3 linked regions of the Xenopus tropicalis genome follow. The protein of the gene in region 2 binds, or shares a complex with, the protein of the main gene of each other region. Links are inferred from orthologs where the notes say so. Each region holds a gene or a part of one and is shown on either strand. Other genes may lie near its edges. The genes, in order: ints12, ints4 and ints6.

Region 1 (3,548 bases), on a different chromosome or scaffold from region 2:
CTATTTAATGAACTCAACAAGGAAACATGGAACTTTAAACATTGCAAAGCAACTGCAATTTATTTCAGCAGCAATGTATTACCATAACACAACAAACATACTATGCAAACATCTCATTACTTATGAGACAAGTTTGATAATAGATATAATAATAAATGTTTATGAAAGATTCACTTTAAGGAGCAATAAAAGTCTATAAAAACATACCTTAACTTCTGCTCTCTTGAAAGCTAAGAATGTATTTGCAGAATCGGGCTTAGCTTTCAGCTCAGGTTTATTAACAGAGGGATCCTTTGCTACAGGTGTCACTGCAGATACAGCTGATGGGGATGGCTTCTGTGAGGGTTTCTGATTCTTTTGTGCCTTTGGTTAGAATGAAAGACATGATCTATAAGAGTAGCACCTTAACTACAAACTGGATATTTATAACCTCTAAACACACAGTATAATTTAAGGTGGCTATACATAAACCAACTTTAGCTGCTAACTTGCCCATTGTGTATGGGGTTCAAACAAAGAAAAATACAGTGGTCTTCTTTTATCAGGGTTCGAACACTGACACAGGTGAACCCTGCATCTACCACCACCTCTGAACCAGGAGGTAGCTCCAGGGCTCCCACAGTGGCCTGTGTCAACTGCCGCAGCACATGGGGAGAGATTAATTAGTTTTCCATATTAATAAATTTGCGAGCATTCGAAATGTGAGTTTATTTGAATTAGAAAAAGTCTCAAATTGACAAATTTAAAAATTGATAAATAAACCCATTGCATCTTAAGAATCGCACACCAACATTTTAACTGTGAAGGGCAGAAGTGACCCCATCGGAACTCAAAATTTCAATGCAATATAATCAAGATTTGCATCAAAGTGCAAGAGCAATTATGTTACGTTAGACACTTCAGCCACAATTGCACCGGGTGCATCGCCCTCTCATGACCACAATTACACTGAAATTCTGGGAAAACATTATGTCAGAAAAAACATGGCGACTTGTGCTTGAAATTGCACTTAAGATTACAACTTGCTCATCTTGCTCCAGTCCTTGAATATCACAACTTTCTATCTACTGCTAATCAATTCCACTTTTTCGGGACCATTACCACCTGTACCTCAAAGACTTACCATTCTTTTCATTTGCCTTGTGCAGCGAGCACAATACCACACCAACCGTGGGTCATTCACATCTTTATCTGTGACCTGTGGTTTGTGGCAGTCCTGATGGTACAGATTGTGGCACTCCTGGCATTCAACCAGCTGATTGCCGGAGAACACAGTCATTTGTCTAAAATCAATGAAAAAAGGTGACATTAAATTTCACATTTTAGAAATCTAGCAAAGACCAGATATTAGCCGTTCCAGATATTTAGGCATAACTTCTGATTCATATGTCAGCTTCATAACATTATCATAGAAAATACTATATTTTGCAGCACTAAGATAAGCTAATTATTAATAAACAAAATCATGGTCAACAACAAATGTACATGAACATGTAAGTCGCCAGCGGGATGGCAGACGAGGCGGCACGATTTCACGCAAATCGCCCCGCCGCATCTGCCATCCCGCCGGCGACTTACATGTTCGCCGGTGGGATGGCAGGGGTAGGCAACTCGGGGAGATTAGTCGCCCGCGAACAGGGAGTTTTGCCGCGGGCGACTAATCTCCCCGTGTGCCAGAGCCCTTAGGTTTAAATCTTCTTATGAAATTGTTTCAAAACGAGAAAAAAAAGGAAGTTATTGTACAGAGGGTATCTGTCTGTGTTGTAAGTTAATAAGATAAACAGATTGCTGTAGATGGTTCATGATAGTGGTGATATAGGAGAATATCAGATTTATAAAGAAAAAAATCAAGATGAAGATGAGATTAATAATTTCTAGAAGGAAATGAAAAGACAATAGAGAGAAAATGGAAGATGGGGTGCTTAAAGGAGTTAAGCACCATAAATAATATGGAAGCCAGAATTCGGTTGGTCATCACACAGAAATGTATAGGTATTCTGGCTGAATGCTAAACCAAAGCTGAGTGTGTCAGAAGCCTTCTACTTTTAGCCCATTAATTCTTTTCAAACACACAGACATAGAAGGTCTGAGGGAAATAAACACTTACCGACAAACAACACAAGCCAACCCCATCTCCATGGCAAAATCATCAGCACTGGTCTCGTCAAAGCTTGAGAGATCTGGCACAGGCAAATCCTTGCTTAACTGTACTGTGACAGGGGAAGAACGAGCTTCTGTCTTCTCTATACGAGGCTTCTTTGGAATATCCATAACATCACTGATTTCCACTTTCATCTGTCAGCCCAAACAAATACAGAATTGACTGCATAACAGTGCGATACTCTACATAATACAAACATTTTAGCAACCTAGCAATAAGAACCAGCCTGAACTGCATATGGCCACATATTGTGTTGGCTAATTATATTGTATAAAAATCTATATATAAAACTAAAACCAACGACAAAAAATGTAGCCGTTTGCCTGCTGCAGTTTCCCCCCCACTGAAAAAGCAACTGAAAATGACTGAAATTGCCCAGTTGCCTAGCAATGGGACTTGCTTCAAATACTAGCGCACAGGTGATTTTGATACAATTTTCACCTTAGCGTATCTGAGGGGCTATACATACCCCTGGTGAAAATTCAGAGATAAAGTTCTACACACTCTTGGTAGAACCTGAATACTAGTGAAATTTTATAGTGATATATTGCTATAGGAGACTAGATAATTCCACAGTGCATGTTGCAAAAGTGCTACATTTCAAAAGAAAATATTCTGTCCTGTGTGACCATGACAACTGCCCTAAAGTGAACAATAGACTGCGTTCTGGAAAAAATTGTAAAGAGCTATAAATAAGAAAAAAGCACAGTCAGCCTGGCACAAAAAGTTTCTCATCAATGACACAAACAGGGGGCACGGCTTCTTGTTGAGTAATAAGAAGCCACCAAAATTAACCCTTGCACATCTGTTGTTATGACATATGAGCCAGATCTACTTTATGTGCATTGCATTGATATCAATGGAAAGTAAACAATGGTGATCTCACAATTTGATAGTGAGGAAACGCCTTGTTTGCCACAGACCTCAACAATTAGGGGCCGATTTATGACTGCTTGAGCCTTTTACCTCGTGTAATCACAAAGGAAACCCCACGAGTTAAGGAACTCAAGGGGGGTTTCGTGGGAAAAAAACTCTTTAGCCGAGGCATTTTTCCCCTAGCGGTCTTTCTTGAATTAGAAAAAGTTTGACACCTAAAAGCTGCAGAACCTGCAGAATATATGTGTATATGCATAAAACACAGCACTAATGCAGTTTTGACAGATCAGGCAGTACTGAATCGAAATGGCTAAAAACTCAAGTTTGGAAGAAACAAAGAAATGAAGACATTCACTCACAATAAAACACTCACTTTTAAGGTCCCCATACACGGGCCGATAGTAGCTGCCGATATTGGTCCCTTGGACCGATTCAGCAGCTTATCGGCCCATGTAGGGGCAGAAACGAGGGGCCTGCCCGACAGATATCTGGCCTGAAAATGGGCAGATAT
Region 2 (3,654 bases):
CAGTCAGCTTTTGTTGGCCTATGTATGGCCACCTTTACACTACAGTTAGCAGCCAAGGTAACATAGTTAGGTTGAAAAACGTCCATCAAGTTAAATCTTAATGCCTATATATAACCTGGCAAAGAGGAAGGCAAAAAGCCCTTCTGAAGCTAATTTGCCGCAGAGGGGGAAAAAAATCCTTCCTGACTCCAAGATGGCAATCGGACCAGTCCCTGGATCAATTTGTACTAAGATCTATCTCCCATAACCCTGTATTCCCTCAATTTGCTAAAAAGCCATCCAGCCCCTTCTTGAAGTTATATAATGTATCTGCCAGTACTACTGGTTCAGGGAGGGAATTCCACAACTTCACAGCTCTCACTGTAACAAACCCTTTCCGAATATTTAGACAGAACCTCCTTTCTGCTAATCGGAGTGGGTGCTTTTGTGTCAGTTGGAAGGACCTACTGGTAAATAAAGCATTAGAGAGGTTATTCTATGATCCCCTTATATATTTATACATAGTTATCATGTCCCCACTTAAGCGCCTCTTCTCCAGTGTAAACAGACCCAACTGGGCCAGTCTTTCCCCATAACTGAGACTTTCCATACCCTTTACCAGCTTAGTTGCCCTTCTCTGGACCCTCTCTAACTCAATAATGTCCCGTTTGAGCACTGGAGACCAAAACTGAACAGCATATTCTAGATGGGGCCTTACCAGCGCTCTGTAAAGGGGAAGAATAACCCCCTCCTCCCGTGAATCTATACCCCTTTTAATACAAGTTGACTCCCTGTTTTATTCCTTAAGTAGCTCCTTATGTGTTATTTGTAATACTAATGGACAGCAACATTAACATTTCTCTAAAAATCCAGCTATCTGTGTACTCCTACCTAACCTAACCTCTTGTGGCTTATTTCCAGAGGTGAGGATTGCTGCTGTGGAGTCCTTGTGCCTGCTGGCCCGCTCCTCCGCTCCTTTCGCTGAGAAATGCTTGGATTTCCTGGTGGACATGTTTAACGACGAGATTGAGGAGGTACGCCTGCAGTCCATCCACACCATGCGCAAGATCTCGGACAATATCACCCTGCGAGAAGATCAGCTGGACACAGTGCTGGCCGTGCTGGAGGTGAGAAACTTCTAGAAACTTCATTTTCTAAGGGCTTCCTGGCAAGCCTTAAATTCAGTGCTGATGTTATGTGGTAATGTTTAAAGATTAGAACAAGTGTAGCAGTTTTTTAGGGGGTCGGGGAGGGGGGGGCATTGAAGTAACTACAAAGTTCTCTGGGAGTATTTAAAATAATAAATGGTCATTCTTATAGTTTGGCCTTTAGACTGAAGTATGCTTTTGGTGCCATGTATCTCACAACACTATGTTCTGCAGGATTCTTCCCGAGATATCCGGGAGGCCCTTCATGAGCTGCTCTGCTGCACAAACGTTTCCACCAAGGAGTGTATCCAGTTGGCTCTGGTTGAACTGTTGAAGAACCTCTCCAAATACCCCACCGACCGGGAGTCCATTTGGAAGTAAGTATGGAGGTCCATGCTGAGTAGCTTGAAATAGGTCGTTCTAGTCAGATTTTGCTCATTGCCAAGGTCTCCCTGACAAGCTCGGCCTAAGGCATTTTTGTTATGTTTCAGGTGTTTAAAGTTCCTTGGGAGCCGACACCCCACCCTGGTGTTGTCTCTCGTCCCAGAGCTCCTAAGCACCCACCCTTTTTTCGATACACCAGAGCCTGACATGGATGACCCAGCCTGTATCCTTCTTTTGCTCAGTGACTTGGTGTGTGTGACAGGGGGGAAGGGCGGAATGATAATACTTGTTGGGGGCATCCTTAATGGAGAAGGATCTGGGGGTTTTCTGTAGATAACAAGTTGTCTAATTCCTGGCAGTGTCATTCTGTGGCTACTAAAGCAAATAAAGTGCTGTCTTGTATAAAAAAGGGCATTCACTGAAGGGATGAAAACATCATTTTGCCCCTTTATAGGTCCCTGGTAAGGCCTCACCTTGAGTATGGGGGGCAGGTTTGGGCTCCAGTCCTTAAGAAGGATATTAATGAGCTGGAGAGAGTGCAGAGACTGCAAATTAACTGCTAAAGGGGATGGAAGGTTTAAGCTATGAGGTGAGACTGTCGAGGTTGGGGTTGTTTTCTTTGGACATGCGAGGGGACATGATTACTCTGTACAAATACATTAGAGGGGATTATAGGCAGATAGGGGGTGTTGTGTTTTCCCATAAAAGCGATCAACGCACCAGAGGCCCCCCCTTTAGATTAGAGGAATGGAGCTTCCATTTGAAGCAGCGTAGGTGTTTTTTAACAGTGAGGGCAGTGAGGTTGGGGAATGCCCTTCCTAGAGATGGGGTAATGGCAGACTCTGTTAATGCCTCTAAGAGGGGCCTGGATGAGTTCTTGAACAAGTATAGTATCCAAAGCTATTGTGATACTAATATCTACAGTTAGTATTAGTGGCTGTGTATGTAGTTTATGTATGTGAGTGTATAGATAGGTAAGTATAGGGTGTGAGTGCTGGGTTTACTTGGAAGGGTTGAACTTGATGGACTCCTTTTTTCAACCCTATGTAACTATGAGAGGTCTTGGTTTAACTAAGTTTGGAGACATTGCGGCAATACCTGTTTCCATGGATCCTGCATTTTGCCACTAGGTGGAGCTTGCAGTGGCAACTAATATTTATTCCCTATAAGTTATGGCTTGGGTTATAAACATGTAAATGGATAAAGGTAACTCCAAACAATATGTGGAAATCTTTGGAGGGAAAACAATATTTTGTCTTAAAGAAGAAGAAAAGTCTGAATCACTGGGGGTTGTCAAATGGTGATTGTAATCACTTACCTGATACCCCTGGGTAGTGCTCCTTTGAGCAGAAAACTGCAACAAACGTAACTGAGACTTTCCTTCTCCCTTTAAATGATTCTTCATTCCTAAGCTTTGCTTACATTGGATCTTAACATTGCTCTCCAGACATTGCAGTTCTGGTTCTGATATTCAATGCTGCCAAATGCTGCCCCACCATGCCGGCTCTGTTCTCGGACCACACTTTCCGCCATTATGCCTACTTACGGGACAGCCTGTCCCACCTTGTTCCTGCTCTTAATGTGAGTGTCATAGGCACAGTGCTGATATATTAGATTGTTTAATCTGATTGTAGGTTCTGCCAAATTTATGGGGCTTTAATTTTTGTGTATGATGAATTTCCATAGAAATGAAATTCTGACCCCCAGTTACTGTTGCTTTTAACTGTTACTTTTAAAATGTTCATTCTGTACAGAGAATCTGTATTGTACAGCAAGCAGTATGGCAGCTCCCACTTCTAATGTACAGTATGACTGATAAAACCTCACCATTATGCCATGTTTCTCTGTGTTTCTCCTCAGTTGCCAAGTGTGAGGTGGTCTTGGGTCCCAGATGTGGTCACAGAGGCCCCTCCTGAGGATCCTTCCCAGCAGTTCCTTCAGCTCAGCTTAGAACGGGTGCAGAATCTCCAGCACCTCGGCTCACAGGGGACACAGGAGCTGCTGGAATTCACCATTCGGTAACTAATGTGTAATTGTATGGGTGAAGCACCCAAAGGGTACTATGTGCTTAACAGTCTTGAATTACTGGTGAAGTAGAGACGAGTGCAATAAATAAAGATAAACCAAGCTTGTTGCAGTTTCA
Region 3 (3,654 bases), about 19 Mb from region 2:
TGCACTGCGTCAAGAATAACATTTTTTTTAAACCAGAAGGAAAGGGGTCTGTATGTACATCTTGGGCCCTTAAATACTCTGAAATACTATTTTTCAATCAAAACATGGTTCATATGTTGGCAGATAAGCAGGTATTTAATGTTTTCCCTCATACACACATGCCCTTTTAATACTGGACAGCTCTCACTCAGAAAAATGGGAGTTAGCTTTCCCAAGTGACATCAGTTTAGGGCAGATACACTCCCTACCCCAGCTCCATTGATCTGCAGTTAAAAGTACAGCTTTGCTGCCTGTGCCTGCACACAAGCGAGAGTGGAGGTTGGCCCAAAAATGCCTGCTTTCATGTTTCAGGGCCGTTCTTCGCTGTGCTCCGCTGAGTGTGCCTAAAGTGCAGATCAACAGAGCTGAGGAAGGGAGCAAATCCGCTTCCCTCAGCCTGAAAAAATAAACGTAAGTTGAGGGCAGCAGAGCCAATGCTCTGTGTGCCCTGGCCCTAATATGAAGGTTCCCAAACGGTGCGGCTGGTTCCCTTGGGAGGCCTTGAAGTGGCTGAAGGCCAATTAGGGAAAGACATGGCCCACAGCATACTAATTAATCAGCAATGAAAATGACTATTTTCAATTAATCTTGCCTTGGTACACTTATAACCACAACTTTACTGTAACTCCCCAGCTAATATAGATCCCCTTCCCCTATGCAGATGGCCATATACAGACCAGCTCTTCTAAACTAAAGTTGCAAGAAATTGAAACTTCGCATGACTTTGGAATACCGAAGCCATGTGATGGCCATTAACATTATTGAGATAGGACCATCCAACAGTATAGCAGTTGGTACAAGGGTTTAGAAGAGCTACTATGTATATACTATTAAATTATACTACAGGTATGGGACCAGTTATCCAGAATGCCCGGGACCTGGGGTTTTCCGGATAAGGGGTCTTTCCGTAATTTGGATCTCTTACCTTAAGTCTACTAAATAATTATTTAAACAGTAATTAAACCCAGTGTTATTGTTTTGGCTCCAATAAGGATTAATTATATCTTAGTTGGGATCAAGTACAAGCTACGGTTTTATTATTATAGAGAAAAAGGAAACCATTTTAACAAATGTGAATTATTTGATTAAAATAGAGTCTATGGGAGATGGCCTTTCTGTAATTCGGAACTTTCTGGATAATGGGTTTCCAGATGAGAGGTCCAATACCTGCAATATAGTCTTACTTTGTACTGTGAGGACAACTAAAACACTGGCCATCTGCATAGGGGAAGGGGATAAACCGACTACAACGCTTTGTGGGACATCAGCCTTACTTTCACTCATATTGGGAAATCAGTATCAGCAGTTTTGTATATCTGAATAACCACAGGTCTAAAATAGATATGTATAATCTAATTACTTACTAATGTTGGAGAATTCTGATCTGGCCAAAAGGATTCTGGAATAGGCCAGTGACCTAGAGGGACGCCTGCTTTTGGATTGGGCCTAACATATATGAGTTTGCGACAGCTGTGCCAGGGTTGGGATCCAACTGATCTGACTGGGTCTGTAGGTCCATCTGAAAGGAACAAATAATGTTTTTATTAATGTTGAACATTTTAATAATTCCATTCCTAGCCAAACATTTGGCTAGCCATAAATGTAAGTAGCAGGCCCTAGCCTAGTTGGTACCCCCAAGCATGGATGGCTGCCAGCATATTGCTGACCTACTTACCCTGGCATGTGACTACAGGCAAAAGACATAAACAATTATAAAAGATTCTATGCTAAAGATAAAATGTCACTCCCTGAAGGAAAGTGCATATTCGGAATTTGTTAAAATTTAAAAAATGATTAAAAAAAATTAAATGTCATTACTAATAAAAGCATCCTACATCAAGGAGAAGGAAAGGTGAACTGGCTCCCATAACCACACTGTTCAATTAAGCAGAGTCTAACATGGGATTTATTATTTTGTTCCCTTGAACCAATCAAGCCTAGGTTTGCACCTACAATAAATCCAGTTTTTGTCCATAACCTTGTGTGTATTTTTTATCTCTTTGGAACATGACTTTCCATCTAGCCAAGCACTCCACTGATATATTCAAATCACAACGGAAACATCTTGTTTGGTTCATATTTAGCACAACTTTATATCATAAGCAAACACAGAAACAGTACTTACAGTGCCAACACCAAGGTCATACATTGGTTACACTGAACAACAACGTAACCAGACAACTATAGGATTTCACAAGTCATATTTTGAATATACCCTTTATCCCACAGGAAGTGGGAGTTTGAAATAATAGATAAATAAAAAGATTCACAAAGCCTCCTTAATCTCCACAGCTGGCAAGAAAGCAGCACTTTCTATATTGGGATCTATTTACTGAATCTCCTACCCTTTTCGGCAGTGGAATGGCGAGTAACTGGGCCCTGCAGCAAGATCACTGAGCCACTAAACTTTCGAAAAAAAGACATTTCCCTTAACATATATTGCACCTCCTTATCAGTCAAAGTCCCACTTTGTCCCCTAGAGTTCCTAGGCACCCAAAAAGTTGCAGGGTCATTTACCTCTATAGTTACACCCATGTTGTTGAGAAAGACACATGCATTGAGTTCAAGTTTATTTGTTAGAACACAATCAAAAAGGATACAAATGTTAACAGAACTGTAGTTACCCTCTAGAATTGGAGGATCTGGTCCAGACTTTTCAAAGTTAATCACTACTCCACTTTGAATCTTTTGCACCAACGACTCTAGACACTGGTTAAGAATGCGTTGTGAAGTAACACTATATGATCGCCCTAGAAAGAAATCAAATATCTTCAACCTTAAGCAGGAAAATTGGCATTGTCAGTTTCCTTTGGGCCCTGCATCACAGATGTAAACCAGTCAAGTGCAGTTATTATATTAAATTATATTTCATCTATATGGATACAAATATACACACCGATGACAAAAAAAGAATAGCAGCACATACTGTACAATCAGTTGTGTGTGACTTCTTAAGCACACACTTCAATTTGGTATATTAAACATTACATTAGAATTTTTTTGGGATCTTTGGAGACTAAAGGGAGTCATGCATGGACTGACTGAACGGTTTTCTGACTACACTGCAATGCAAATGGACAGCTAGATAGCACTGATTTGTCTGTCTAGCTGATACCCCATATGAGAGAAAGCAAGCTGCTGATGCTCATTTATGTGCTGACAAGAGACACTAGCAGTCCATTTGGGATCTGTTAAGTCTAAGATGGGAATGGATTCCAGAACAATGACAAAACTACCACTATTCATGGAAGCACACAGACACACTTTGCGCAGTGCTTGACTCAGTAATCATACATGGACCTACCTCCAGTCACATCACACATGGCAGTAATAGGGGACTCATCAAACTGAACGGCGGTTGGCTGCTCTTGCTCTACCGATGATGCTCCAGGCAGACGAAGCACCAGAGCAAAAAGTCTCTGATCCCAGCGAAATGGCTCTTTTGTCAGTTCACTGCCAGGTAACGGAGAAATCAAAGGCAAGTGGAGCTAAATAAGAGACAAGGAGTAAAACATTTACAGGAAAGGACTGCAGGGTTGTACAGAAATCATAGTATTGGAACTTCCTCCACCTTGCAAATAATGGCCTATTCATCTGCCTAATATCTCCACTCCC

What was found.
Region 1: ints4 (region 2) and ints12 share a complex: the UniProt entries of both Homo sapiens proteins name them as parts of the integrator complex. The link is inferred for Xenopus tropicalis from reciprocal best matches to the Homo sapiens genes INTS4 and INTS12.
Region 3: ints4 (region 2) and ints6 share a complex: the UniProt entries of both Homo sapiens proteins name them as parts of the integrator complex. The link is inferred for Xenopus tropicalis from reciprocal best matches to the Homo sapiens genes INTS4 and INTS6.

Annotation. Positions count from the first base shown.
Region 1 is NC_030677.2:72,498,417-72,501,964, reverse strand, and holds part of ints12 (integrator complex subunit 12), read right to left. Parts: intron 2,296-3,548; coding exon 2,108-2,295; intron 1,284-2,107; coding exon 1,124-1,283; intron 364-1,123; coding exon 208-363; intron 1-207. UniProt on the Homo sapiens protein: Component of the integrator complex, a multiprotein complex that terminates RNA polymerase II (Pol II) transcription in the promoter-proximal region of genes.
Region 2 is NC_030678.2:168,913,448-168,917,101, reverse strand, and holds part of ints4 (integrator complex subunit 4), read left to right. Parts: intron 1-900; coding exon 901-1,106; intron 1,107-1,361; coding exon 1,362-1,504; intron 1,505-1,618; coding exon 1,619-1,734; intron 1,735-2,958; coding exon 2,959-3,092; intron 3,093-3,371; coding exon 3,372-3,529; intron 3,530-3,654. UniProt on the Homo sapiens protein: Component of the integrator complex, a multiprotein complex that terminates RNA polymerase II (Pol II) transcription in the promoter-proximal region of genes.
Region 3 is NC_030678.2:149,895,666-149,899,319, forward strand, and holds part of ints6 (integrator complex subunit 6), read right to left. Parts: intron 3,528-3,654; coding exon 3,344-3,527; intron 2,790-3,343; coding exon 2,664-2,789; intron 1,559-2,663; coding exon 1,404-1,558; intron 1-1,403. UniProt on the Homo sapiens protein: Component of the integrator complex, a multiprotein complex that terminates RNA polymerase II (Pol II) transcription in the promoter-proximal region of genes.